Macaca mulatta: one gene and its partners. The protein of the gene in region 1 binds, or shares a complex with, the protein of each later gene. Links are inferred from orthologs where the notes say so. Each region holds a gene or a part of one and is shown in the gene's direction. Other genes may lie near its edges.

Region 1 (3,500 bases):
AACATCAAGCAGACAGGAAATGTACAGTGCCTTTAGCAGGAGGAGCTGAAGAGGCACAGGACAACGGGTGTGGGCAGAGGAGGGGTGAAAGGCCCAATGACACAGCTCCTGCCACTCGCTCTTGAGGTGGGGGAGGTTCTGAGGACGGAGTGTGTCCACCAAATCCTTTGTACACTAAGTACTACTCCCGTGTGCAAGGTGGCAGTGACAGTGCCGTCCTGGGATGTCTCCAGGAGCCTTCTTGTCTTCAAAGACACCACACGCCTGATTGTGATGTTACATGCATGTGATTGTAGTCTTTGAAAACAGGTGACCCTACTTTGATATTCAGGATGAGGGGAAGGGGAAGAATCCTGTTAATTATGCAGTACTTTTTCTGTAATTTCAAGAAGGCTCAGCCTACACTTGTGCACCTTAAGCAAATTCAGCTACACCCACTCAGACAAGGAGGAAGGGAGGAGGCAGAGGAGGAGAGCGCTCCAAGCTCATTACCTGTCCTTTCCCATTCCCATGTTTCACCTGACCTAGGGGCTTCCCCTGCCCCCAGAGAAAGGTAGGCCCCAGGTCACAAACAAATCAAGAAAAATTAATAAAATGGCCTTTGACTTTGAGCAATCCAAGGACCAAAGTTCTTGAGATTTAATGTTGGCATGAGATATTTTTGCCATCTGCACTCACTTGGCAACCAGCCCCTCCCCTCCCCCAGTCCTGAGGCACAGCCCCCCCTGTGGCCCATCCCTCAGCGAACCAGAATTCTCCACCGAAACACCTGCTCCTCCACATAGCCCAGTTCTAAGGACTCCATTCCAGCCTGCGTAAGAAGTGTAGAAAATTACAACTCAGCAAAGAACATTGATTTTTTTTTCTCCCCCAAACAAAATAACTGTGTTTTCAGGATGAAAGCAGAGCTGCTGGTTGAGTTGGAGGGTGGAGAACAGAGCCCAGCCCACTCTCCCTTCCTGCCCCGGAAAACTCTGGGGCCCCATGGGCTGTGGCTTGGAGCTCTTGCTTTAGGATGTCCATGTGGTAGAAGGCCCCACAGGCCCCATGAACCCCGACTGTGCATGCTCAGGTCGTGGCCCTGCCCAGAGCAGGCTGTGAGCTGAGCCGTGGTCCTGCCACCCTGGCTGGGCCCTCATCACAGTCCCAGCCAGGGGAGAGCCCTTGGCTGGCAGGGGTCTTCTGTCCCCACCGAAGTCTCAAAGCCCACCATCCACCTCTCCTTACAGGCTGACGCCAAGATGGTGTGCGACGTGGTGAGTCGGATGGAAGACACCGAGCCCTTCTCTGCAGAGCTGCTTTCTGCCATGATGCGGCTCTGGGGCGACTCAGGAATCCAAGAGTGCTTCAACCGGTCCCGGGAGTATCAGCTCAACGACTCTGCCAAATAGTGAGTGTCCCGGCGGGCGCACAGTCTGGAGCCGGGCAGTGATGCGGGAGTGGAAGGGGACTGGCGATGGGGATTGGCAGAGCAAGGATTCTCGTCTGAGGTCATGCCTGCCGGGAGATGTTCTACTACAGGTGGGGGGTGTCAGGAAGGAATGAGAAGGGGCCTCTCTTCCTGCCCCCCCTAGGAGAAGGAAGAGGCCAGAGAAGGCAGAGGACACAAGAGACAACCACACAGTGGAAATTCCCAGAGGGCGGGACCTTGTCACTGGCCTGTCCCAAGGAGTGCCTGGCATTGCAAAAAGACGGCTTTCAAGTGTAGCAGCTTTGGTTTTTCATGGGGAGCCCCTGACCCCAGAAATACAAACCAAACCAACAGCCATACAGGGAGAAAATAAATGGTGCCATTTTGTTTTATTTTAGAGAAAATAATAAGTTTTCCATTCCCTTATCTTCAAAATTAAAAATAAGGGCCAGGCGCGGTGGCTCAAGCCTGTAATCCCAGCACTTTGGGAGGCCAAGACAGGTGGATCACGAGGTCAGGAGATAGAAACCATCCTGGCTAACACGGTGAAACCCTGTCTCTACTAAAAATACAAAAAACTAGCCGGGCGAGGTGGCAGGCGCCTGTAGTCCCAGCTACTCGGGAGGCTGAGGCAGGAGAATGGCGTAAACCCGGGAGGCAGAGCTTGCAGTGAGCTGAGATCTGGCCACTTCACTCCAGCCTGGGCGACAGAGTGAGACTCCGTCTCAGATAAATAAATAAATAAATAAATAAATAAATAAGGAATATGTAGGTCTAATTAATATAATAAATGTATACTTTAATACTCTGTTATAACTAAATAAGGGAGATGACAGGAGGGCAGGAGGATGGAAGGAGGAAAGGAAGGGGACAGAGGGAGAAAGAAGAGGAGAGAAGAGAAGATGGAGAAGTGGGAAATGGTAAAAGCCGGAGCTGGTTAGAAGGTGCTCCCGGCTCTTCCCATGACCGCAGGTCACAGGTCCATTGGCTGCAGCTTTATCACTCTAGGCATCTCCAAGGAAATCCTCACTGCTTCCGTGCCCTTGGCCCTAGATTGGAGGCTCCAGAGCCCGGGGATGGTCAGTGTCGGTCAGGGACATGTCTTCTGTCATGGAGACACTGGGATTGCCCCCTTGGCTTTTGGGAAACACACCCCACTTTTGCAATTGCAATCTGGGACCCATACATTCAGTGGGGACTTTCTGCAAGGAGCCTCTGCGCTTTACCCCACTGGCTGGGAAGACTCTGACATGATCCAGTCCAGCCATTTTCACCAGGTCTTCTCAGCTGGGGCCAATTTGCCTCCAGGGGACATTCAGCAACATCTGGGGACATTTTTGATGGCTGCAGCTAGAGTGGTTCTCCCGGCAGCTAAAGTGGTGCTCCCGGCAGCTAGAGTGGTGCTCCCAGCATCTAGCAGGTAGAGGCCAGAGATGCAGTTAAACATCCCACAGTGTGCAGGATGGCCCCCACAACAAAGAGTTGCATGGCCCCAGACATCCATAGTGCCAAGATTAAGAAACCCGGATCTACGCAGTGCCAACAGACAATGGCTGAGGCCAATGTTCACTCCTGGACATTTCCACAGGCCACATGGCAGCCAACAGACTAGGGGCTTGAGCAAGACCAGGAGCAGCTTCCCATTTCTGCACACCTAGATTGACCACAGGGCAAATGCCAAAGTCCTGTGAGTTCCAGGTGATGACTACCTAGGTCCCTGGGCCTGATAAGCTCCCAGGGACACCCTGGGGGTCAGGGCAGTGAGCCCAGAAGCTCAGTGTCCACCATTCCGTATGCTCAAATCACAGACCAGAGCCAGGCAGGAGAGAGTGACTTTCAGCTGCCCTCCTCCCTTCTCCCACTCCTTGTCCCTGCCCTGCCTCCTCCCCAAGAGTCAGCAAGACCCTCAGGGGCCTTTAGGGCCAGCTGGCCCAAATCTGCCTTCTAGTGGCTCACCAAATCCTGCTCTCCACTTACATTTTTACTCATTTCACTAATTATAACATGAATCCATTACAAAAAAAAAAAAAATTTAAACAAATGCAGAGGCATATAAAATGAGAAGCAATCTTCTTCCTACTCCCCTCAC
Region 2 (4,004 bases), on another chromosome or scaffold:
TGTCGGCTCTCTAGCTGGGAACCACCCAGGTTACAAAGATAACGTGACTGGCCCTGCTGTACCGAAACGGCTTAATTTCTTTCTGGCAAATCTACATTTACCGCAGTAAGATACTAAGCACGTTCTTTCACTTTAAAAATATTTTGTCATCGCTGCAGTTTATGGCCCTCAGATGAGTAATGCAAGGCAAAAATGATGTGAGGTTGAGTGGTGTGAACAGCCTTCTCCTTCAATGTCATCCACATCTATAGAGAAGCCCACACAGCCCTTTCCCTTCGCACTTCTCTCCTCTCTAGCAGGCCGCGGATAAGGGTGGGATTAGGCGGCCAATTTTACAAAACTCCAGGGAGCGGCGCCAGCCTCGATTTCCTGGGGTTATTCCAGGGACAGAGGTTTTCTCACGGACAGCCACCCTGGGGGGGAGGAGGAGGAGGAGGAGGAGGAGGAGGAGGAGGAGGACAGACACTGATGGGTGAGGGGGCCCGCGAACCCCTTTGCCTCCCCCCCGGCGCGCTCTGGAGCGCCCTGGAGAGCGCCCGGCTTCCCTCGCCCGCCCGGCCCGCAGCAGCTGGCAGCCCCGCCTTCAGCCAGCCGTGCAGGTCCGCACCCCGCGGAGGCGAGCGCGCGCGGGTTCCAGCCGGGAGGTGGGCGGCGACCCATCCCGCGAGAGTCCGTCCAGTCTCTGCTCGCGCACCGTGACTTCTAGGGGGCGCGGATTTCAGCCAGGCCGTCTTCGTCTCTCAGTTGAAGCCGAGAGGCCCCTGGTACCCGACTCTTTCCACCACCAGGAAGTCCCCCAAAAGAGCTTTCGCCCTGTGGACACCTCGGAATCCCTGGAAAAGCCGGGAGGGAGTCGCAGGCGCCAGCCCACTGGGGAGGTGGCGCGGGAGGCGCGGGGAGCCCTGTCTGCAGGAGCCTCACGGTGCGCTGCTGCGCGCTCGGCAGTGCGGGGAAGCGCCGCGGGAAGGAGCGGCTCTGAGCAACAGGTGCAGCCCGCAGCCGCTCCGGGAGCGAGAGAAAACGGCCCGCGAAGATCTGGAGCTGTAAGGCGGAGAGAAGGGTCTTTCCACCTGCGCGGCTGCAGCCGGCGGATCCTTCTTCCCAGGCTCCGTGGTCGCGCAGCGGGCGGAGGCGCCCGGGTAGGGGATCTAGAGCTCTCAAGACCACCGTCCCTTCCCGAGAAGGTCCAGCTCCGGGCTCCCGTCCCCGCCCTCTCTCAGAAGGTCGCGGCGCAAAGACGGTGCCTTCAGGCACGGCCACCGGATCCCCGCGCCCGCTGGCGCGCGCCTCAGGGGAAGCTCAGACTCCTAAACTCGCGCTCTCCGTGCTCTGCGCCGGGACTACCGACCACCCCCGGCGCCTACTTTCCTGCCAGGCACCCGCCCTCCCCGCGCGCCCCGCCGCTCGCCCGGGCAGCCCCGCGGGCCATGGAGCTGGCGGTCGGGAACCTCAGCGAGGGCAACGCGAGCTGGCCGGAGCCCCCAGCCCCGGAGCCCGGGCCGCTGTTCGGCATCGGCGTGGAGAACTTCGTCACGCTGGTGGTGTTCGGCCTGATCTTCGCGCTGGGCGTGCTGGGCAACAGCCTAGTGATCACTGTGCTGGCGCGCAGCAAGCCGGGCAAGCCGCGGAGCACCACCAACCTGTTCATCCTCAACCTGAGCATCGCCGACCTGGCCTACCTGCTCTTCTGCATCCCCTTCCAGGCCACGGTGTACGCGCTGCCCACCTGGGTGCTGGGCGCCTTCATCTGCAAGTTCATACACTACTTCTTCACCGTGTCCATGCTGGTCAGCATCTTCACCCTGGCTGCGATGTCAGTGGACCGCTATGTGGCCATCGTGCACTCGCGGCGCTCCTCCTCCCTCAGGGTGTCCCGCAACGCGCTGCTGGGCGTAAGCTGCATCTGGGCGCTGTCCATCGCCATGGCCTCGCCCGTGGCCTACCACCAGGGCCTCTTCCAGCCGCGCGCCAGCAACCAGACTTTCTGCTGGGAGCAGTGGCCTGACCCTCGCCACAAGAAGGCCTATGTGGTGTGCACCTTCGTCTTCGGCTACCTGCTGCCGCTCCTGCTCATCTGCTTCTGCTATGCAAAGGTGCGCGGCGGGCACCGGGCCGAGACGCGCGAGGGAGGGTGGGGGGCCCGGGGGTCCCAGTGTTCCGCGGCCCTGCCGGAGCCTTGGCGGCAGCCCGGCCCCAGTTGCCTCCACCCCGCCGGTGCTGGGGCGGATCTGTGCGGGGAGGCTCCCTGGCCGCTGCTGGAGCTTGCCATTGGCTCGCGCAAGAAAGTTACTTGGAGTCTGAGAGATGCTGGGGAAAGTTTGCAGTTCACTTCGCATGGTCTGGTAGAACAAGTTTCTCCTCCCCTCCCCTTCCTCGCCCCTGCGGCGCTTCAGAGCCCCCAGGTTGCCTGGGCGGTAGGCGGGCGCTGCCGCCTCCTTCCCGGTACCGCAAACCCCGCTCGGTTCCAGCAACTCTTCAACCAGATCAGCTGCGCGGGGAGGTTACCGCCTCGGCACTGTGAGACCCGAGGGGAGCGCGTGGTCACCAGAGCGCGAACCTTTTGCGAGGGTGACGGGTCCCCACCGCCCCCTCCCGGGCTCTCAGCTGGCCGTCGGGGGGCTCGCGGGGCGGCCCCTCTCCCCCGGGGTGCGCAGTTTGCCCTCGCTCCGAAGGCTTTGCGCACACCGGGCTCTGCGAAGCCACTGCTCCCGGGGACAGAGCTTTGAATTTTATTCTGAAGCTTAGCTTTATAAAACGGTGTTTCTTTACAGAGTCCTGACCGCAGGCTCCAGGAACTTGGAATGGAATGGACTCGAGCTTTCGGCTTCCCCATTTCAATCCTTTTTAGAAAGGTCTCCAGAACAGGGTGAAGTGGTTGAGGCGGCGGATCTTCACCCTAACTCTAGCAGAGGCACCGTCCACGCGTGTGGGAGATCGTTTTTCCCTTTGTACAGCCGGGCAGAGCTCAGAACTCACGTTCTTTTTCATTACGTCCACAAGTGTTTGAAGACTTTATACTGATCAAAACGTCTTCAGCCTTTGACACACGTGTTTCTATTTGCGTAAACAAGAGCTTATTTTAATAATCAGGTGATAGCGATTCACGGGGTAAACCCCAGTGTGCGCAGCCTCCTGGCTCCAGAGCGTGGCCATTTGAAATACAGCTCTGTTACCAGGTTCCCCTGACTTCACCTCGGTCTCATTCTGTTTCAATAAGGCTGTGACTATATGACCACAAATAACCTCACTAGGTAGAACAGCTATCACTTTTAATACTCAATTCACAAGGTATTTTTATCAACAGAAGTGTTTGCTATAAGCCACCTGTTTCCCCCCACCTGTTTCATCTATGTAGATCGTGTCGATTTTGAATAATAGTATTGCTGGATATTATCTGAACGGCTTGCACCAAAAGGTTAAATATAAAGAAATATAGTAGCACTTTGGGAGGCCGAGGCAAGTGGATCACCTGAGGTCAGGAATTTGAGACCAGCCTGATCAACAAGGTAAAACCCCGTCTCTACTAAAAATATAAAAATTAGCCGGATGTGGTGGTGGGCCCCTGTAGTCCCAGCTACTCCGGAGGCTGAGACTGGAGAATTGTTTGAACCCAGGTGACAGAGGGTGCAGTGAGCTGAAATCGTGCCACTGAACTCCAGTCTGGGTGACGATGGAGCGAGACTCCATCTCAAAACAACGACACCACCACCACCACCACCACCACCAATATAGTAGCAGTAAGGGAATTTGGAAAAGAACTCTAGCTTAGCTATTTGGGAAACGGCTGGTTTATTAATGTGGTCTTCTGCAAATGCTAAACAAAGGCCATCTTACCTAGCACAATTATCTGATATGTGCACCATCTCATTTAATTTACACAACTCTGGCTTGGAGCTATTTTATTATTTACCCGTATTTTATTACTTAAGGAAAAAGAGCTTTGGAAAGGAACACCTGACCGAAATTATGAAGCTGGTGAATGATTCAGGAAGGAAGGAAGGCTT
Region 3 (4,166 bases), on another chromosome or scaffold:
CATTATGGTGAATTGTATAATTATTTCATTATGTATTACAATGTAACAATAATAGAAATAAAGTACCCCACGAATGTAATACACTTGAATCATTCCAAAATCAGCCCCCACAACCTTTGGCCTGTAGAAAAATTGTCTTCCACAAAACCGGTCCTTGGTGCCAAAAAGGTTGGGGACCACGGTCTTAGAGAACCCACAATGAAGCTGGAGAGGATGAAGTGTGGACCCCATTTCCAAGACGGAGGTGGTTGTGGCTTGTGTGGCTAGTGTGGCTTGTGGAGTGGGTGGGCGGTGTGTGGGGTGGATAGCGCCATCTTCTATTGCCAACTTCGTAACCCTAGAAGGAAGATTTTTTCTTTTTCTTTTTTTTTCTTTCCTTTTCTTTTTTTTGAGATTGAGTCTTGGTGTTGTCAGCCTGGGCTGGAGTGCAATGGTGCGATCTCCGCTCACTGCAATCTCCGCCTCCCAGGTTCCAGCAATTCTTCTGCCTCAGCCTCCCGAGTAGCTGAGATTACAGGCACCTGCCACCACTCCTGGCTAATTTTTGTATTTTTAGTAGAGATGAGGTTTCACCATGTTGGCCAGGCTGGTCACGATGGTTTTTTTTGTTGTTGTTGAGACAGAGTCTTGCTCTGTTGCCCAGGCTGGAGTGCAATGGCATCATCTCGGCTCACTGCAACCTCTGCCTCCTAGGTTCAAGCAATTCTCCTGCCTCAGCCTCCCGAGTAGCTGGGATTACAGGCTGGGGCCTTCGAAGGAAAGAGATAGATGGCTCCAGGCCGGGCGCGGTGGCTCACACTGGTAATTCTAGCACTTTGGGAGGTTGAGGTGGGTGATTGCCTGAGCTCAGGAGTTCGAGTCCAACCTGGCCAACATGGTGAAACCCCATTTTTACTAAAAATACAAAAAATTAGCCGGGGGTGGTGACACAGGCCTGTAATCCCAGCTACTCGGGAGGCTGAGGCAGGAGAATCGCTTGAACCTGGTAGGCAGAGGTTGCAGTGAGCTGAGATCGTATCACTGCCCTCTAGCCTGGGCAACAAGCAAGACTCCATCTCAAAGAGAGAGAGAGAGAGAGAGACAGAGAGACAGAGAGAGAGAGAGAGAGAGAGGGCCCCAACTAGGGAAACCAAGGCCAGAAGAGGGGCCGAGCCTACAAAGGAACTTCCTCGGTTTTCCGAGCACTGGCCCCCGTTCTCTGCCTGGGAGGAGGTGGTTAGAGTCCCCTGGGTGTGTGCCCCGCAGAGGGAGCTCTGGCTGCAGTGCCCAGTGTGCAGACCAATGAGAGCCTCAGAGAGAAAGATGGTCATTTCCTCCCTGCATCTTCCCTTGGGGCTTTAAAAACCACAGCCCTTGGGCAGGAGGGACCTTCGATCCTCGGGGAGCCCAGGAGACCAGAACATGGTGAGTCTCGAAGGGGAATGGGAGCAGGAAGCTTTGCCCAGGGTCCCTCCCATCTCTGCTCCCCTGGGTCCTTTCTCTCCCCAACTGTCACCATCGACTCTGTCTCTCCCTTTCCTTCTGTCTCCCTGTCTTCCACCTCCCACCTTCCCTCTCTCCCACATCCCAGGCTCTAACACTCTAGGACTGGGATGTGGCCATGGGAATAAGATCGTCAAGTTGTGGGAGCCACAGCAACCTCATGGGGCTGGGGTCCGAGAAAACTCCCCAGGGGAGGGGACCCTTGAGTTGGGTCTCATAAGATGACTAAGAATTCCACAAGCAGCCGAGCACGGTGGCTCACGCCGTAATCACAGCACATTGGGGATTGTGCCAAGGTGGGAGGATTGCTTGAGGCCGGGAGTTGAAGACCAGCCTGGCCAACATAGTGACACCCTGTCTGTATTTTTTTAAAAAAAGAATTCCACAAGTGAAAAGATCTAGAGAAGGCCTTCCAGGCAGTAGGAATGGTAGAGAAAATGTTGGGAGGCTGGAAAGAACCAGTTTGGAGGAATAGTAAAGTTACTCACAAGCTCTTGCAGATAGATGTTCTTTTCTTTTTTGACTTGGGATCTTGCATGGTTGCCCAGGCTGGAGTGCAGTGGCACCGTCATAGCTCACTGCAATCTTGAACTCGGGCTCAAGTGATCCTCCCACTTTAGCCTTCTGAGTACCTGGGACCACAGGCATGCACCACTATGTCCGGCTAATTTTAAAATTTTTTATTCTTGTAGAGATGGGTTCTTGGCTATGTTGTCAGGGCTGGTCTCGAACTCCTGGCCTCAAGCCATCCTCCCACCTTGGCCTCCCAAAGCTCTGGGATTACTGGCGTGAGGCCATTGCACCCGGTCGTTTCAGATGTTCTACATGATAGAGATAGGGAAACCGAGGCCCAGGCAGGAGCAGAGATGGCCGGGGACCCTCCGTGGTTGGTGGCAGAATGAGGTTATGCCACAGATTCTGCGAGTGTCAGAAGGAACGCAGCCCAGGCTAGGTGAAGGTCCCCGTCATCCCTGCATCCGGCGTCCTGGGCACTGAGCCAGCAGAGCTGCGACTCAGCACCTGCTGTAACACAGGCATTGCCTTGCTTCATCCGTGTCAAAGAGGAAACGGAAGACAATTTGGATGGACTAGGGAGGGGACTCATGTTGCTTCATTCCTGCATTCCACCCTTGAGATCAGACCAGGGCAAATGGCACTCTCTGCTTCTTCTTTTTTCTTTCCAAAACATATTACAAAGTACCAAAGGACACTTGGTAAAAACTCATTCTCAGCCGGATGCGGTGGCTCATGCCTGTAATCCCAGCACTTTGGGAGGCCAAGGCATGCGGATCACGAGGTCAGGAGATTGAAACCATCCTAGCCAACATGGTGAAACTCCGTCTCTACTAAAAATACAAAAATTAGCTGGGCGTGTTAGTGGGCGCCTGTAGTCCCAGCTACTTGGGAGGCTGAGACATGACAATCGCTTGAACCCAGGAGGCGGAGGTTGCAGTGAGCTGAGATTGCACCACTGCACTCCAGTCTGGCAACAGAGTGAGACTCCGTCTCAAAAAACTAACAGAAAAAAAAGAAAACTCATTCTCCCTGCCTACCCCAGAGCCTCTGACTCCTTTTCTTTTCTTTTCTTTTCTTTTTGAGACGGAGTTTTACTCTTGTCACCCAGGCTGGAGTGCAATGGCACGATCTTGGCTCACCGCAACCTCCGCCTCCTGGGTTCAAGCAATTCTCCTGCCTCAACCTCCCAAGTAGCTGGGATTACAGGCATGCGCCACCACGCCTGGGTGGTTTTTTGTCTTTTTAGTAGAGACGGAGTTTCACCGTATTGGCCAGGCTGGTCTTGAACTCCTGACCTCAGGTGATCCACCCACCTTGGTCTCCCAAAGTGCTGGGATTACAGGTGTGAGCCACTGTGCCTGGCCCTCTGACTCCTTTTCATTGCCCCCTCCCCTACCCAGAGGCAACCACAGGATGCCAGTTTGTGGTGGATCCTTCCAGAAACAGTTTACAGATGTCTGAGAGCACAGATGCTTAGGGAACAAAGTAAGGACTAGCGTGATGCAGGGAACCCCAAAACCGATCTCAGCTTCTGTCTCTACTGTGAAATAGCTGCAGAGATCTGTCCTCTCCTTATCTTTTTGTTTTTTCAAGACAGTGTCTTGCTCTGTTGCCCAGGCTGGAGTGCAGTGGTGTGATCTCAGCTCACTGCAACCTCCACCTCCTGGGTTCAAGTGATTCTCCTGCTTCAGCCTCCCAGGTAGCTGGGACTACAGGTGCCCGCCACCACGCCTGGCTAATTTTCGTATTTTTATTTTTATATTTTTGTATTTTTAGTAGAGACAGGGTTTCACCCTGCTGGCCAGGCCAGTCTCAAACTCCTGGCCTCAAGCAATCTTCCTGCCTCGGCTTCCGAAAGTGCTGGGATTACAGTCATGAGCCACCGTGCCTGGCCACCCTCTCCTTATCTTTTTTTTTTTTTTTTTTTTTTGAGACGGAGTCTCGCTCTGTCGCCCAGACTGGAGTGCAATGGCCGGATCTCAGCTCACTGCAAGCTCCGCCTCCCGGGTTCACGCCATTCTCCTGCCTCAGCCTCCCGAGTAGCTGGGACTACAGGCGCCCGCCACCTCGCCCGGCTAGTTTTTTGTATTTTTTAGTAGAGACGGGGTTTCACCGTGTTAGCCAGGATGGTCTCGATCTCCTGACCTCGTGATCCACCCGTCTCGGCC
Region 4 (4,068 bases), on another chromosome or scaffold:
GAGCAGAGTTGCTGCTTCCCTCTCCTGGGGCTCAGCTCCCTCCCTGCCTGCTGTCTGATGTGTGTCTTACTGTTGGTGGGTCTCCAGCCTGGCTCTGGTGGCTGCTTCCCTGGCTTGTGGGTGTCTGTGTATCTGAGTGTGGGCTTGTCTGTCTGTCTGCCCTGAGTGTTTCAGGCGGAATCTGTCCTTGACCCGGTGTATTTGAGCGCATGTGTCTGGTAGTGGGGGCGCTCCCTCCTGCCACCTCTCCTCTCCTCCCCCATCACTTCCCACAGGCGCTGACACAGCCACCACCTGCGCCCTGAGCGCAGTGACCTCGTCTGTCCGCTGCAGTGGCGACTGCCCCTCTGTCCACGGGGGTCCGTGGCTGGGCTCCAAGCGGCTTGCTGCTCCCTCCTCAGCCTGAGGCTGCCGGAACCCGGGCTAGACGCGCTCCCCTCCGGCTGGGTCCGCGCGGCGCCTCATCTTCCCTTATGTAACTCCACATCTGCCTGCGCCTTGCAGGTCACCCTGGACCCTGCACTGGGCCCTGTCCACAGGGAGGCTGGCACCCCTAGTCCGTGCAAACGGGAGGTGGAGCGGACCCCTGGTCTGGGCACCGGCTTTCCAAGACCCCCTCCTCCCCATCCCTTCTCCAGACGTTCCTTCCGCCGGAGACCCACATTCCCAAAACATGCACCGAGGAAATGCCCCACAGGGCAAGTTCCCCGGAGCGCGGGTGCAGGCGTTTCTCCCACCCCCACCCCGGGTCCCCACAGGCGCCAGGGCTCCCCATGATGACTGGGTAGGGGTCCCCAGGGCCGAGGGCACGGGAAAGGCCGAGCAACCCAGACCCCGGCTCCGAGTGCGCGGGCTGGCTGACCGCAGGCGAGCCCCCAGACCCGGTCAAGTCCCGGCCGGGCTCCCAGCCAGCTGCCGTGAGCGCAGGGGCTGGGTTCCAGCTTGCCTGGCGGGCACGCGGCGCTGTCCGTGGTGCTGCCGGCGCCGGGCGGGGCGGGGGCGGGGCGGGGGCGGGGCGAGGGCGGCAGCCAATGGCGGGGGCGCTGCGCGGGGCGCGCGGGGCGGTGGGCTGGGCGCGGGGCGCACTCGGCTGCGCGTTGCGCTCCGAGTGCTCGGTCGCGCCGGCAGCGGCTCAGGCTCCGGCTTCTCTCCCGCTGCAGCAGCAGCGCTGCTGGCCCCACTAGGCTCTGATCTGGCCCCGGCCCCCTCGGCACCGCCCGCCCTGGCCCTGGCCCCAGCCCCCCGGACCATGCGCTGGGCGCCTCCCGGGGAACCCCACCCGGCCAAGGGCCCGCAAAGACGAGGCTCCCGGGCCGGGGCCCCTCCGGCCGCCCACCTCTCGACTGGCGCCCTGCCCCGCGTCCCGGAGCCGCGTGAGCCTGCGGGGCCATGGAGCGCGCGCCGCCCGACGGACCGCTGAACGCTTCGGGGGCGCTGGCGGGCGAGGCAGCGGCGGCGGGCGGGGCGCGCGGCTTCTCGGCAGCCTGGACCGCGGTGCTGGCCGCGCTCATGGCGCTGCTCATCGTGGCCACGGTGCTGGGCAACGCGCTGGTCATGCTCGCCTTCGTGGCCGACTCGAGCCTCCGCACTCAGAACAACTTCTTCCTGCTCAACCTTGCCATCTCCGACTTCCTCGTGGGTAAATCCCCAGCCCCCGGCCGCCGTGGGACCCAGGGGCGCCCAGCGTGGCCGGGCCAGCGGGGACTGGAGCACGGACCTGGGTGGCTCCCGCAGGCACACGCCCCACCAGGGGACCCGGCCTGGGAAGGGGGTGTCCGGAGCCCACGGTGTGGGGGGCACAGGCGAAGTTCCTTGCCACTCAGGCCTCGGGACAGGGGCTGGAGAGAGCTGTCCCTGGGAAGGGACACAGGCACTGGGCGAGGCGCAAGGCGCAAAGGCAGCGGGTGCAGCCCTGGTTCCTGCGCTGTAGCCAAACAAAGGCTGCTGCGGACTTAGGACGCGCGCGGAGGGCGCAGTGGGGAGGTTTAGAGAAGGTCTGGGGGAGGGGACATGGAAGGGGGATTTTTAGAGCTGTGTTGGGGGAGGGGACCGTGGGGAAGGTGGGGGTTGGGGTAGACGCTGGAAGGAGCGCGCTCTCACGTGTCCAGGCTCTGCTGCCGGCTGGGGGGGCGGGGCACGCGGAGGGGGCTGGAGTGCCAGACACCTGTTGGGGCTGTGAGGTGCGTCTCCCAGACGCTCCAAGCCCGCTTGGCAGTAGTAGTGGCGGCTGGCTGCTGGCGGCGGCAACCAAGTGCCCTTTCAGCCGGGAAAGCCTTTCCTGCTGTCTAAGCTGAGAGGGAGGGCTGCCCAACGCCAAGGTAGGGCTGGAGTCCAGCGGGGGGAGGGGAGAAGGAAATTGTCTTCTTTCCTCCTTTGAGGGCTGGGAGGGCTGGACAGAAGTCCAGGGAGTCCCGACTCCAGGCTCTTGGGGTCTTGTGGTGGCCAGAGTTCCCCATGCCGGATCGTCTCTCCTGCTCCCAGGCCCAGGGGACACCGGAGGTGCTGGGAGCTATGTGGGGGTGAAGGCTGGTGGCAGGGCAGAGTTTGTGGCTGACACCAGGTGGAGGGGGCGGTAAGATGAGGATGGCTGGTCCCAGAAAAGCAGCCCAGGTTCCGTGGTGTCTGTGCTTAGGTGGGTCTGTCCCCTGTCCCCTGGCTGCATGGTCCCACTGTGGCCCTACTCCCCACAGGCGCCTTCTGCATCCCACTGTATGTGCCCTATGTGCTGACCGGCCGCTGGACCTTCGGCCGGGGCCTCTGCAAGCTGTGGCTGGTGGTGGACTACCTGCTGTGCACCTCCTCCGCCTTCAACATCGTGCTCATCAGCTACGACCGCTTCCTGTCGGTCACCCGAGCCGTGAGTCCCGGGCTGCGGAGCCCCTGCTCACTCCTGAGGGACAGTCGGGACGCCCATGGGAGGCATCAGGGTGGGGACGGCTGCTTCTGAGTTGTGGGCAGAAGTGGGCTTGGTCCCACTGATTTTGCTGCGGACACATGGGCCACTCGATGGCCAGCTGCCCACTCCGGGCCATGGCTGCAGCCAGACTGTCCTGGCCCAGGCAGGAGGCAGGGAATCTGGATGCAGATGTTCCTGAAGGCAGGGCTGTCACTGCAGCCCCCGCCCTGGGGCAGGTCCACAGTCCCCAGAGTTACGGGAGGATCTGGGGCCAGAGGCCCTGGGTGACCACAGTCTCCAGAGTTAAGGGAGGATCTGGGGCCAGAGGCCCTGGGTGACATCCCTCACACATGCGTGTGTGTGCAAGCGTGCACACACACACAGGCCCCGGGAAGGCAGGCGGCAGATCCTGGCTCCACAGATTTCCCTTTGTGGGAGCGGCCACCTGAGTCAGGGACTCTGCCCCACCCGGGCTCCTGTATCAGGGCCATGCAGCCCATGGAGCCGCTGCTGAAGTCACTCCTTCCCCTTCTCATCTCCTTGGCAGCTCACCTCCACAGGGCTTTATGGGGCCTCTGCAGGACTGAGGGCAGGCTGTTTCGTTCTAGACTAGAAAGGCCAAGAGACAGGGTGCAAAGAGCATGCATTTGGGGTCCTCTTGAGCCCATCCCCCTGTGGTCTCTCCCTCCTTTCCTGGAGCCACCAGGCATGGGGCACAAGGAGAGCTGCCACGAAGGGTAAAGCGGCCAAGCAGAGAGCCTGGCATGGGGGTGCTCTGCCCACCTCTCATTAGCAATAGCTGTAAACATTGCTCCCGCTCTCACCAAGGTAAATGCCATCAGGCTTGTGGGGGAGGGTGGCAGGGTTCTCAGGTCCTCCTCCTCCAGCTGTCCTACCTGGGACCCCTCAATGGGATCCCTTGGCCCTCCTGCCCCCTGCCCCCACCAGCTGGTTGCTCTCTGCCCTGGGGAGGGCCCTGCCCTCCCTCCCTGTTCTGTCCCAGAGGCCCTGATGTCGATCTGGGATGCTTTGTTCTGTGGCGGGGCGGGGGATGTCTCCCAGCAGTGGGCCAGCTTGTGGCTTCATTCCTGCACTTCCAGCTCCCAGGGGTGCGAGCACCTGCGCAGGAGTGGGGCTGGACCTCCCACCCCAACCTCTGGAGATGGCTCGGG
Region 5 (4,291 bases), on another chromosome or scaffold:
CCTAGTCTCCCATCAGTAACTGGCAGAGCCAGTTAACAGTTAACGGGGCCTTCCTGCAGCTGGGTCTTCAGCAGGTCACCTGGCAGAGCCATGACTTGAAACCTGAAAATCTAACTCTAGACCCTGTACTCTTAACCTCACATGCAGCCTCTTAATAGCACTCCCAATACCTTTGTGGGAAGGTGAGGAGAGAGGCAGGGTATTTATTACCTTTATCTCAGAGATAGACACTAAGGTAGCAACTACCTAAACCCAGGATCGTCCACAGGTATAGCTGTGACTGGATTACTAACCTTTGCGGGTGTGTGTGGGGCAGGGGAGAGGGGGGAGCGGGGGAGAGGGGGGAGCGGGGGAGAGGGGGGAGCGGGGAGGGTGCAATGGAAAAAGAATGGTAAATTCACATTTGAATTTTGGAGCCAACACCTACTAGCTGCACATCTTTGAGCAAGTTATTTAATATGAGTCTTAGTTATGTGACTGGCACATAGTAGGTGTTCAATAAAATACTCATCCCTATCCCATTTGTCTGTCATCTCCAACTGTGATCTTGAGCAAGTTTATTTAGCTTTCTGATTCTCGGTTTCTTCAACTATAAAATGGAGATGATGATGAAGAAGAAGATCTTACTTAGCCCCATGTCCATCGGGGTAGGAGCCTCGTAAAGGGTACTTATCAGTATAATTAGAAACTGTTGGCCGGGCGCGGTGGCTCAAGCCTGTAATCCCAGCACTTTGGGAGGCCGAGACGGGCGGATCACGAGGTCAGGAGATCGAGACCATCCTGGCTAACACGGTGAAACCCCATCTCTACTAAAAAATATAAAAAACTAGCCGGGCGAGGTGGCGGGCGCCTGTAGTCCCAGCTACTCGGGAGACTGAGGCAGGAGAATGGCGTGAACCCGGGAGGCGGAGCTTACAGTGAGCTGAGATCCGGCCACTGCACTCCAGCCTGGGCGACAGAGCGAGACTCCGTCTCAAAAAAAAAAAAAAAAAAAAAAAAAAGAAACTGTTTTGCCAGGTTTGCACCCTGTGCGCCTGTCCTTCAGGACCCAGCAGGCTCAGACTTACCTGCGATCAAAGCCCTGTGTGCCTCTCAGACCCACCAGCCCCGTGGAATCTCTTGCAACACGACACCGCTGCGTGAGTTTTCTGTTGTTACTAGAGGTCAGCAGGTATTTTTCCCTAGGAAACTGGGTGTGCACGTCTCATCCCCGTGCCAATTCTCTTGCCGCTTCTCCTTCCACACGCGGCGTCCTCCGGAGGGAGGGTGCAGCTCCGCGTGCTCCAGCTGCGGCGAAAGTTGCGCCCGGCCCAGTCTGGCTGTGGGCCCCGCCTCCGCCTTCTCAGTGTCCAGCCCCGCCCTCCGATTGGTCAGCAGTGCCCAGCCCCGTTCCTCCGAGGGGATTAAAGCAGCGGCCGCGAAGTCTGGGTGCTTGCAGGCTGCTAAAGCCAACCCCAGTTGATTAGCACCTGCTACCGCGCTTTGCTTCCTAGCGCTCGCGGAGCCTCCTGGAGCCTGCCACCATCCTGCCGGCTACGTGCTGCCCCGCGCCCGCAGCCATGTGCCGTACCCTGGCCGCCTTCCCCACCACCTGCCTGGAGAGGTAAGGGGAGCTTGTCCAACTGCTTGCGGGAAGTCCCACCAACTCTTAGGGAGTGGAGCGGCAGGCCTGGGGACCTGGGTGGGCGCGGGGATGGGGCGCTGGAGGCTTAAGTAGAGAGGTAGAGGCGAACCTGATGCCACGTGCTTAGATTCCAGGAGCAGGGAGAAAGCAAGGGGAAGGGAAGCAAGGGCCCGCTGCTTGCTGCCATCCCCATCCTCTGACAAACTGCAGTCGTGCTCAGGTGACCTGCTGAAGACCTGGCTGCAGGAAGGCCACGTTGACATTTCCAGGCAGAACTGAGCCTGCCTATTGCTTAAGCACTTGTTTTTCATTCCTCAGACCAGAGCTAGGGGCATTGCCTCCTCTGCCCCTGGAAGGCAGGGAGATTTTTTTTTTTTTTTTTTTTTTTTTGTGGGGTGTGGTGGGGCAGGGGGATCCCACTGTTGAGGGTGTGTCCATATTCCAGAGAGCAACTCAACAGCTTCCAGTCGTTACTGGCTGGGAAGGAAAACGTAAAGATGAAGGCAGGAATCAGTTTCCCACAGTTCAGAAATACTCCTGAAAAGAATGCTGAGTTCTTTTCTGAATCAACAGGCACGAAGAGAGATCAGTGTGACTTTAGGGAAAAGCCCATATATGAGCGTGTGTATTACCCAGAAAGTGTAAGGTCTACCACGGCATAGCTCAAACATTGCTTTTGTTGCTTTGGGGTTGATGATACTGATAAGCACAATTTGGGTCCTGGGAACAGCCAAGAGTTTCCAGGAACTCTTGAGGCTAAACTTTGGGTGGCACCACCCAGAGCTCTTCTGGGACACATAAACCTCTCCACACTGGCTGAGCAAATGAGAATCCTTTCATGTTCCTGATTTGTTTTTCAGAGCCAAAGAGTTCAAGACACGTCTGGGGATCTTTCTTCACAAATCAGAGCTGGGCTGTGATACTGGGAGTAGTGGCAAGTTCGAGTGGGGCAGTAAACACGGCAAAGAGAAGTAAGTGTTGCTGACCAGCTCAGGGCTCCGAGAGGGAAGGGAGCGGGAAGGAGGGAAATATAAGGAGAAGCCAGGACACACTAAGTGGATCTTGGCAACGCCTCCCTAGAGATTTTAGTGAGACTTGTTGCTGGTCTGTTATGACTACTTGGCTCATGGGTGAGTGGGTAGGTGGCTCCAGGGCTCCAAGTCTATCCACGGATGAGGGCACACAGGGCATGAATGCCTAGTTAACCAGACTCTCCCACCTGGGGTTTCATTGCACATGCATCCAGGGCTAGGACAGAGTCCAAGGCCACTTGAGGTTTTTATTAATGACTCTAGCATGCACCTTGCCTAGAAACCCTTTCATATTGGCTATCAACTGTACCAAACTCTGGAGTTATGTGTAGATGTAATCTCTATTTATGAGGCCCTTATGTCCTTGGGAAGGTGTACAAAACAAATCTTTGAGAGTCAGGGGAATTGAAATAATTTTTGGACAGAGAAGAGACAGGCTTAGAGATATTAACTGAAGACTAAAGGAGTCCCTGGCTTTGATTTCTGGTTGCCGAATTGTCCTCTAGAAAACATTACTGCTTACCCTAAGTCCAACTAGGAGTTTGAGGTGTCAGCTTCAACAATCACCAAGGCAAGCCTTTCTGTGAATTTTACGCAATTTTCCATCAGAGTTCTGGCTAGAATTTGTACTATGCTTTGGTTTGTTGATTTTTTTTTCTTACTCTTTTTTTTTCTTTTTGTCTTTTAGTAGAAACTTCTCAGAAGATGTGCTGGGGTGGAGAGAGTCGTTCGACCTGCTGCTGAGCAGTAAAAGTGAGTAGGAGCCTTTTGTGTCTGTCTCTGGGTGGCACGTGTATACTCATGTGCTTTGGAACCAGCTCCAGGACTGCTGAGAGCCTGGGCAGAATAATAGTAGTAGTAATAATAATAATAATGATCCCCTAGTGTGCCAGCCTCTATTCAACACACAAAGGCAGGTCCTTGTTCAAGAAAATTATGTTCTAAAAATAGAGCCATTACGTGCAATTGCTTTCCTTTCTTCTTGTATTCCCTGCTGTCCCTCTGGCTGACCTGTTTCCGCCTCTTTCCTGTAACCCCAGATGGAGTGGCTGCTTTCCACGCTTTCCTCAAGACGGAGTTCAGTGAGGAGAACCTGGAGTTCTGGCTGGCCTGTGAGGAGTTCAAGAAGATCCAATCAGCTACCAAGCGGGCCTCCAGGGCACACCGGATCTTTGAGGAGTTCATCTGCAGCGAGGCCCCTAAAGAGGTTAGAGCCCCCATATGCCCAGTGAATCCTCACGACCCTGCCTGCTCCTTCCCCTCTGAGAGTGAGGGCTAGTGGGGAGGAAAGGCTAGGTGTAGAAGTAGAAGGGCCTTACTTGGCACAGGGGTGAATGGGCTTCTGTGACCAGACACTAGAAAAGCCGGGCTCAGTGCCACTCCTGGGTGCTTAACCCTATGACTCATGATGGGGCAGGATGGATTGGCAGGTTTTTCGGCTTCTATCCATACCCATCTTTATAAATCCATCCCTTTTTAGAGGCTCAAAACACTTACCAACTGGGGAGACAAGGTCAGCACAGGGACCTTATATAACCTGGCTCAGTCCCCAGGCTGACCTGCCTGAGGCCTGCAGGTCTGTAGTCTGTGATTTTTTTGTCTACCTTCCCTCCCGGCCACTATGCATGGCAGCTGC
Region 6 (4,150 bases), on another chromosome or scaffold:
TAGTGCTCTAGTGACCGTTAAAATCTATCCTGGGCCAGCTAGCACGCACGGAAAAACTTGCCATTCGCCGCCCACCTCCCCCCCCCCACCCCCCGCTATTCTTATCAGAGAGAACATGGAAAATATTCTCCCTTCCTTGGCTACTCCCTCCTCCCCTTACTGAAGGATGGTGTGTGTACATCTGAATGGGGGTGGGATGCGGGGGGTGGAGTTTAGCTTTCGGTCCTCAACAAAAACATAATGGTTCCCAGTAGGCCAGAGCGGGGCAACCAAGGAGGCAGGATCCTGGCCTCTCTCGGATCTGCAGGAAGGGTGGGCTGTGCGGGTCCAGGGTGGGATGCCCGTTCTGGCCGGCGGTGCCTGCTGAGCCCCTCCTGATGTGACTTTATTAGACAAACCCCCACTCCCGCCAGGGGTAGACACACGAGTATCTGCTTTAGGAAGATTTCTGCAACACGACAGGGTGCAATTCAAAATCTGGGTTCTCCTTTCCTGAGCTCAGAAACCAATTTGTTCTGAGATAGGAGAAGGCTCTGTAGGCAGAAGACCTAAGAGATGGGAGGAGGCGCCTGGCGTCAGCGGGTCGCTTCTCAGCCGTGACCACGAGCGGCCAGCAGGTGTCAGTGCGTCCTCGCTTTGTCCTGGCGTTCGGCTCCTGGACCCCTCCCCACCTCTGTCTAAGGGGGCGCGGTCCAGACCCCCGGTCGCGCGTGTCCCGCAGACAGCTTCGTGGCTGGGAGGACACGTAGCCGCTTCTTCCCTAAGCCAAGGTCCGAAGTCTGGCCTGTGCCACTTACCCATAGGTGCTGTCCATTCCGCCCAGGGGTTCCATCCGAACCCGCGCCTTCCTCCCTCTCCAGCACCCCTTTCTCCCCAGCCGCAAGGAGCACCTGCGGACCAGGTCGGCTCTGGCCCGGAGCTGGGCTGCTCCAGATGTAACCCACACCGGAGGTTACTTCCCTCGATTTGGGCAGGGATTCCCCTCCACTTTTTCTTCCCTTTTCTTCCAAGATCCAGCTCCTTGGGGGCACTCACGGGTGCCCGTCGAGTTCTGCTCCGTCGGCCCGGAGCTGCATGGCCAACTCCTAGCAGGGGCCGCTCCCCCGCCCCCCCAACCACCGGGCTCCCTCTTTAAGCCTCTCGCTCAAGGTACGCGCCTCTCCAAAGGGCTGGTCCCGCATGAGGGCAACTCTCCCCGAGGTCCAGCGCTGGGCGCCGGCGCTAGACTGGCGGAGGGGTGGTGCGAGGGGCGGGGGAGGGTCGGCTTCCCACGTGGGGGCTGACGCTGGCTGCTCAGCAACGCCGGCTTGATCCTGGGGCTATAAAACGAGTCCACCGTGAGCGCAGCGGAGCAGTAGCAGCTGCGGCTCCGTGCAGACGCCCAGCAGCCGGCGTGCCGCCGCCCGGCAGCTCCAGCGCCTTCTTCCCCCAACCTTGCGCTCCAAGCCCAACTCGCGCTGTCGTCGGACCCCGGCCCATCCAGTCGCGCTCGGCGCCCACCTGGCGGACGCCCAGGAGACACCCTGCCTTCGTCGCAGCTCCTGCAGAGCTGATCGTTCACCTACCCCGGCCCGCCTGAGGACGGGGGTGCCTTCATGCGGTGCCCACACTCCTCACCCCGCCGCCGCCGCCGCCCCCGAGCTCCGCACAGTGCGCCCCAGCCTCAGCAGGGCGCACAACTTTGGAAGTCTCGCGGCGCTCCGAGAGGCGGCAGGGTCCGCGCCCCAGCCCCGGGCCGGGCCCGGCCAGAAGCGCAGCGTCTGGGGGAAGCCAGAGAGTCGGTAATCGCTTCGGGGATATAAGGAGACAGACATAGGACCCCAAGCTCGCATCAGCACCCCTCGGCTGCCTCCCGGGGTGGGGGCGGGCCCCGCACACGGTAAGACCTCTTGCTTTCGCTCAGGCTCAAGAGTCAAGATATAGATATCGATATGTATATATATATTTAATTTCCTGTCATCCTTCCAAGTTATCAGGCCACCGATGATTTTTGTTCTCCCTTCTTGAAGAATAAATCTCTTTACCCATCGGCTCTCCCTACTCTCTCCCGCCGCTTAGAAATAAAACTTGGCTGTGTTAGGAGCTCGGAGCGAGAAGGCGCCCACCGAGAGCGTCCGAAGCGCGAGCCAGGCGCAGTTCGCGGGACCCGGGCCATGGGCCGCTAGCGGTCCCCCAGCTCGGGCCCGGCCTCCCTGCGGCCCCCTCCCTATGTGAGCTGCAGCCAGGCGAGCGGGGCGCCGGAGGAAGAGGAGGACCCACGGGCGCCGGGCCGGAAGGCAGCTGGCAGCAGGCCCAGGCGAGCGGGCGCCCGCGTTCATGTTCCGCCAGGAGCAGCCGCTGGCCGAGGGCAGCTTTGCGCCCATGGGCTCCCTGCAGCCGGACGCGGGCAATGCGAGCTGGAACGGGACCGAGGCGCCGGGGGGCGGCGCCCGGGCCACCCCTTACTCCCTGCAGGTGACGCTGACGCTGGTGTGCCTGGCCGGCCTGCTCATGCTGCTCACCGTGTTCGGCAACGTGCTCGTCATCATCGCGGTGTTCACGAGCCGCGCGCTCAAGGCGCCCCAAAACCTCTTCCTGGTGTCTCTGGCCTCGGCCGACATCCTGGTGGCCACGCTTGTCATCCCTTTCTCGCTGGCCAACGAGGTCATGGGCTACTGGTACTTTGGCAAGGCTTGGTGCGAGATCTACCTGGCGCTCGACGTGCTCTTCTGCACGTCGTCCATCGTGCACCTGTGCGCCATCAGCCTGGACCGCTACTGGTCCATCACACAGGCCATCGAGTACAATCTGAAGCGCACGCCGCGCCGCATCAAGGCCATCATCATCACCGTGTGGGTCATCTCGGCCGTCATCTCCTTCCCGCCGCTCATCTCCTTCGAGAAGAAGCGCGGCCACGGCGGCCCGCAGCCGGCCGAGCCGCGCTGCGAGATCAACGACCAGAAGTGGTACGTCATCTCGTCGTGCATCGGCTCCTTCTTCGCTCCCTGCCTCATCATGATCCTGGTCTACGTGCGCATCTACCAGATCGCCAAGCGTCGCACCCGCGTGCCACCTAGCCGCCGGGGTCCGGACGCCGCCGCCGTGCCGCAGGGGGGCGCCGAGCGCAGGCCCAACGGTCTGGGCCCAGAGCGCGGCGCGGGCCCGGGGGGCGCGGAGGCCGAGCCGCTGCCCACCCAGCTCAACGGCGCCCCTGGCGAGCCCGCGCCGGCCGGGCCGCGCGACGCCGACGCGCTGGACCTGGAGGAGAGCTCGTCGTCCGACCACGCCGAGCGGCCTCCCGGGCCCCGCAGACCCGAGCGCGGCCTCCGGGGCAAGGGCAAGGCCCGGGCGAGCCAGGTGAAGCCGGGGGACAGCCTGCCACGGCGCGGGCTGGGGGAGACCGGGATCGGGACGGCTGCGGCAGGGCCGGGGGTGGAGCGCGCTGGGGCCGCCAAGGCGTCGCGCTGGCGCGGGCGGCAGAACCGCGAGAAACGCTTCACGTTCGTGCTGGCCGTGGTCATCGGAGTGTTCGTGGTGTGCTGGTTCCCCTTCTTCTTCACCTACACGCTCACAGCCGTCGGGTGCTCAGTGCCGCGCACGCTCTTCAAGTTCTTCTTCTGGTTCGGCTACTGCAACAGCTCGCTGAACCCGGTCATCTACACCATCTTCAACCACGACTTCCGCCGCGCCTTCAAGAAGATCCTCTGCCGCGGGGACAGGAAGCGGATCGTGTGAGGTTTCCGCCGGCGCCCGCGTAGACTCACGCCGACTGCAGGCAGCAAGGCACCAAGGAGTGCTCAGCCCCAGGGCACTCAGAAACCCGGGCCCTGTCTGCTCTGCGTTTCCTCCTCTGGGGTGGCTCTGCAGCCTCCTGCGGGCGGGCGTCTGCTGCTCCTACAAGGGAAGCGTTCTTGCTGCCAGACCCACGCATCCCCAGTTGTTGGTTTGGCCACTCTTGACCTGGAGCCATCTTCCCGGTGGGCCACCCCAATCAGTATTGCTTCCTGAAGGTATTTTCACCTTCTTCCCCTGGTATAGCCCTCACAGCTCTTCAGAGCAAGCACTGGACTACAAGGACATGGCTCACAAAAGGTTAATGGATGGTTACCTAGAGGATTACCTAGCCCTGGCTAATTCCCCTTCCATCCCCAGCTCTCTCTCTCTCTTTTTT

Evidence for each region.
Region 2: the proteins of GNAO1 (region 1) and GALR1 are in contact, whole or in part, in a cryo-EM structure (PDB 7XJJ), measured with the Homo sapiens proteins. The link is inferred for Macaca mulatta from reciprocal best matches to the Homo sapiens genes GNAO1 and GALR1. Residues at the interface, in NP_066268.1 of Homo sapiens: Ser264, Asn316, Glu318, Tyr320, Asp337, Asp341, Ile343, Ile344, Ala345, Asn347, Leu348, Arg349, Gly350, Cys351, Gly352, Leu353, Tyr354; in NP_001471.2 of Homo sapiens: Thr70, Arg133, Ala136, Ile137, Ser140, Arg141, His226, Leu227, Leu231, Asn233, Ser235, Lys236, Lys237, Ser238, Ala240, Ser241, Lys244, Thr245, Thr248, Leu306, Ser307, Glu308, Asn309.
Region 3: the proteins of GNAO1 (region 1) and C5AR1 are in contact, whole or in part, in a cryo-EM structure (PDB 8JZP), measured with the Homo sapiens proteins. The link is inferred for Macaca mulatta from reciprocal best matches to the Homo sapiens genes GNAO1 and C5AR1. Residues at the interface, in NP_066268.1 of Homo sapiens: Ala31, Lys32, Lys193, Asn194, Leu195, Glu318, Tyr320, Phe336, Thr340, Asp341, Ile343, Ile344, Ala345, Asn347, Leu348, Arg349, Gly350, Cys351, Gly352, Leu353, Tyr354; in NP_001727.2 of Homo sapiens: Asn71, Phe75, Arg134, Leu137, Val138, Pro141, Ile142, Gln145, Ile225, Thr229, Arg233, Ala234, Thr235, Arg236, Ser237, Lys239, Thr240, Val243, Val244, Ala303, Gln305, Phe307.
Region 4: the proteins of GNAO1 (region 1) and HRH3 are in contact, whole or in part, in a cryo-EM structure (PDB 8YN7), measured with the Homo sapiens proteins. The link is inferred for Macaca mulatta from reciprocal best matches to the Homo sapiens genes GNAO1 and HRH3. Residues at the interface, in NP_066268.1 of Homo sapiens: Ile28, Ala31, Lys32, Asp33, Val34, Lys193, Asn194, Leu195, Asn312, Pro315, Asn316, Lys317, Glu318, Ile319, Tyr320, Phe336, Thr340, Asp341, Ile343, Ile344, Ala345, Asn347, Leu348, Arg349, Gly350, Cys351, Gly352, Leu353, Tyr354; in NP_009163.2 of Homo sapiens: Asn69, Asp131, Arg132, Ser135, Val136, Ala139, Val140, Tyr142, Arg143, Ala144, Gly147, Ile221, Ile225, Arg228, Arg232, Thr345, Phe348, Arg349, Arg352, Val356, Leu360, Cys415, His416, His417.
Region 5: the proteins of GNAO1 (region 1) and RGS16 are in contact, whole or in part, in a crystal structure (PDB 3C7K), measured with the Mus musculus proteins. The link is inferred for Macaca mulatta from reciprocal best matches to the Homo sapiens genes GNAO1 and RGS16. Residues at the interface, in NP_034438.1 of Mus musculus: Glu64, Asp65, Gln68, Ser75, Arg86, Thr117, Val180, Lys181, Thr182, Thr183, Gly184, Ile185, Val186, Gln205, Arg206, Ser207, Glu208, Lys210, Lys211, His214, His236, Glu237, Asp238, Glu239; in NP_035397.2 of Mus musculus: Glu85, Phe86, Ser87, Glu89, Asn90, Glu124, Ala125, Pro126, Glu128, Val129, Asn130, Asp132, His133, Glu134, Leu161, Lys164, Asp165, Ser166, Arg169, Lys172.
Region 6: the proteins of GNAO1 (region 1) and ADRA2A are in contact, whole or in part, in a cryo-EM structure (PDB 7W6P), measured with the Homo sapiens proteins. The link is inferred for Macaca mulatta from reciprocal best matches to the Homo sapiens genes GNAO1 and ADRA2A. Residues at the interface, in NP_066268.1 of Homo sapiens: Ile28, Lys32, Lys193, Asn194, Leu195, Asp218, Phe336, Thr340, Asp341, Ile343, Ile344, Ala345, Asn347, Leu348, Gly350, Cys351, Gly352, Leu353, Tyr354; in NP_000672.3 of Homo sapiens: Arg77, Arg146, Ser149, Ile150, Ala153, Ile154, Asn157, Leu158, Arg160, Pro162, Ile234, Ala238, Arg241, Arg383, Arg386, Phe387, Val390, Leu391, Phe444, Asn445, His446.

The regions. Positions count from the first base shown.
Region 1 is NC_133425.1:51,890,716-51,894,215, forward strand, and holds part of GNAO1 (guanine nucleotide-binding protein G(o) subunit alpha), read left to right. Parts: intron 1-135; coding exon of another isoform or gene 136-149; intron 150-1,229; coding exon 1,230-1,390; intron 1,391-3,500. UniProt on the Homo sapiens protein: Guanine nucleotide-binding proteins (G proteins) function as transducers downstream of G protein-coupled receptors (GPCRs) in numerous signaling cascades.
Region 2 is NC_133423.1:3,566,015-3,570,018, reverse strand, and holds the start of GALR1 (galanin receptor type 1), read left to right. Parts: upstream 1-1,204; 5' UTR 1,205-1,427; coding exon 1,428-2,093; intron 2,094-4,004. UniProt on the Homo sapiens protein: Receptor for the hormone galanin. The activity of this receptor is mediated by G proteins that inhibit adenylate cyclase activity.
Region 3 is NC_133424.1:59,795,500-59,799,665, forward strand, and holds the start of C5AR1 (C5a anaphylatoxin chemotactic receptor 1), read left to right. Parts: upstream 1-1,366; 5' UTR 1,367-1,401; coding exon 1,402-1,404; intron 1,405-4,166.
Region 4 is NC_133415.1:115,009,950-115,014,017, reverse strand, and holds the start of HRH3 (histamine H3 receptor), read left to right. Parts: upstream 1-1,268; 5' UTR 1,269-1,389; coding exon 1,390-1,639; intron 1,640-2,690; coding exon 2,691-2,857; intron 2,858-4,068. UniProt on the Homo sapiens protein: The H3 subclass of histamine receptors could mediate the histamine signals in CNS and peripheral nervous system. Signals through the inhibition of adenylate cyclase and displays high constitutive activity (spontaneous activity in the absence of agonist).
Region 5 is NC_133406.1:40,066,430-40,070,720, reverse strand, and holds the start of RGS16 (regulator of G-protein signaling 16), read left to right. Parts: upstream 1-1,491; 5' UTR 1,492-1,559; coding exon 1,560-1,603; intron 1,604-2,484; coding exon 2,485-2,595; intron 2,596-3,343; coding exon 3,344-3,408; intron 3,409-3,695; coding exon 3,696-3,862; intron 3,863-4,291. UniProt on the Homo sapiens protein: Regulates G protein-coupled receptor signaling cascades. Inhibits signal transduction by increasing the GTPase activity of G protein alpha subunits, thereby driving them into their inactive GDP-bound form.
Region 6 is NC_133414.1:123,252,458-123,256,607, forward strand, and holds the start of ADRA2A (alpha-2A adrenergic receptor), read left to right. Parts: upstream 1-1,350; 5' UTR 1,351-2,316; coding exon 2,317-3,714; 3' UTR 3,715-4,150. UniProt on the Homo sapiens protein: Alpha-2 adrenergic receptors mediate the catecholamine-induced inhibition of adenylate cyclase through the action of G proteins.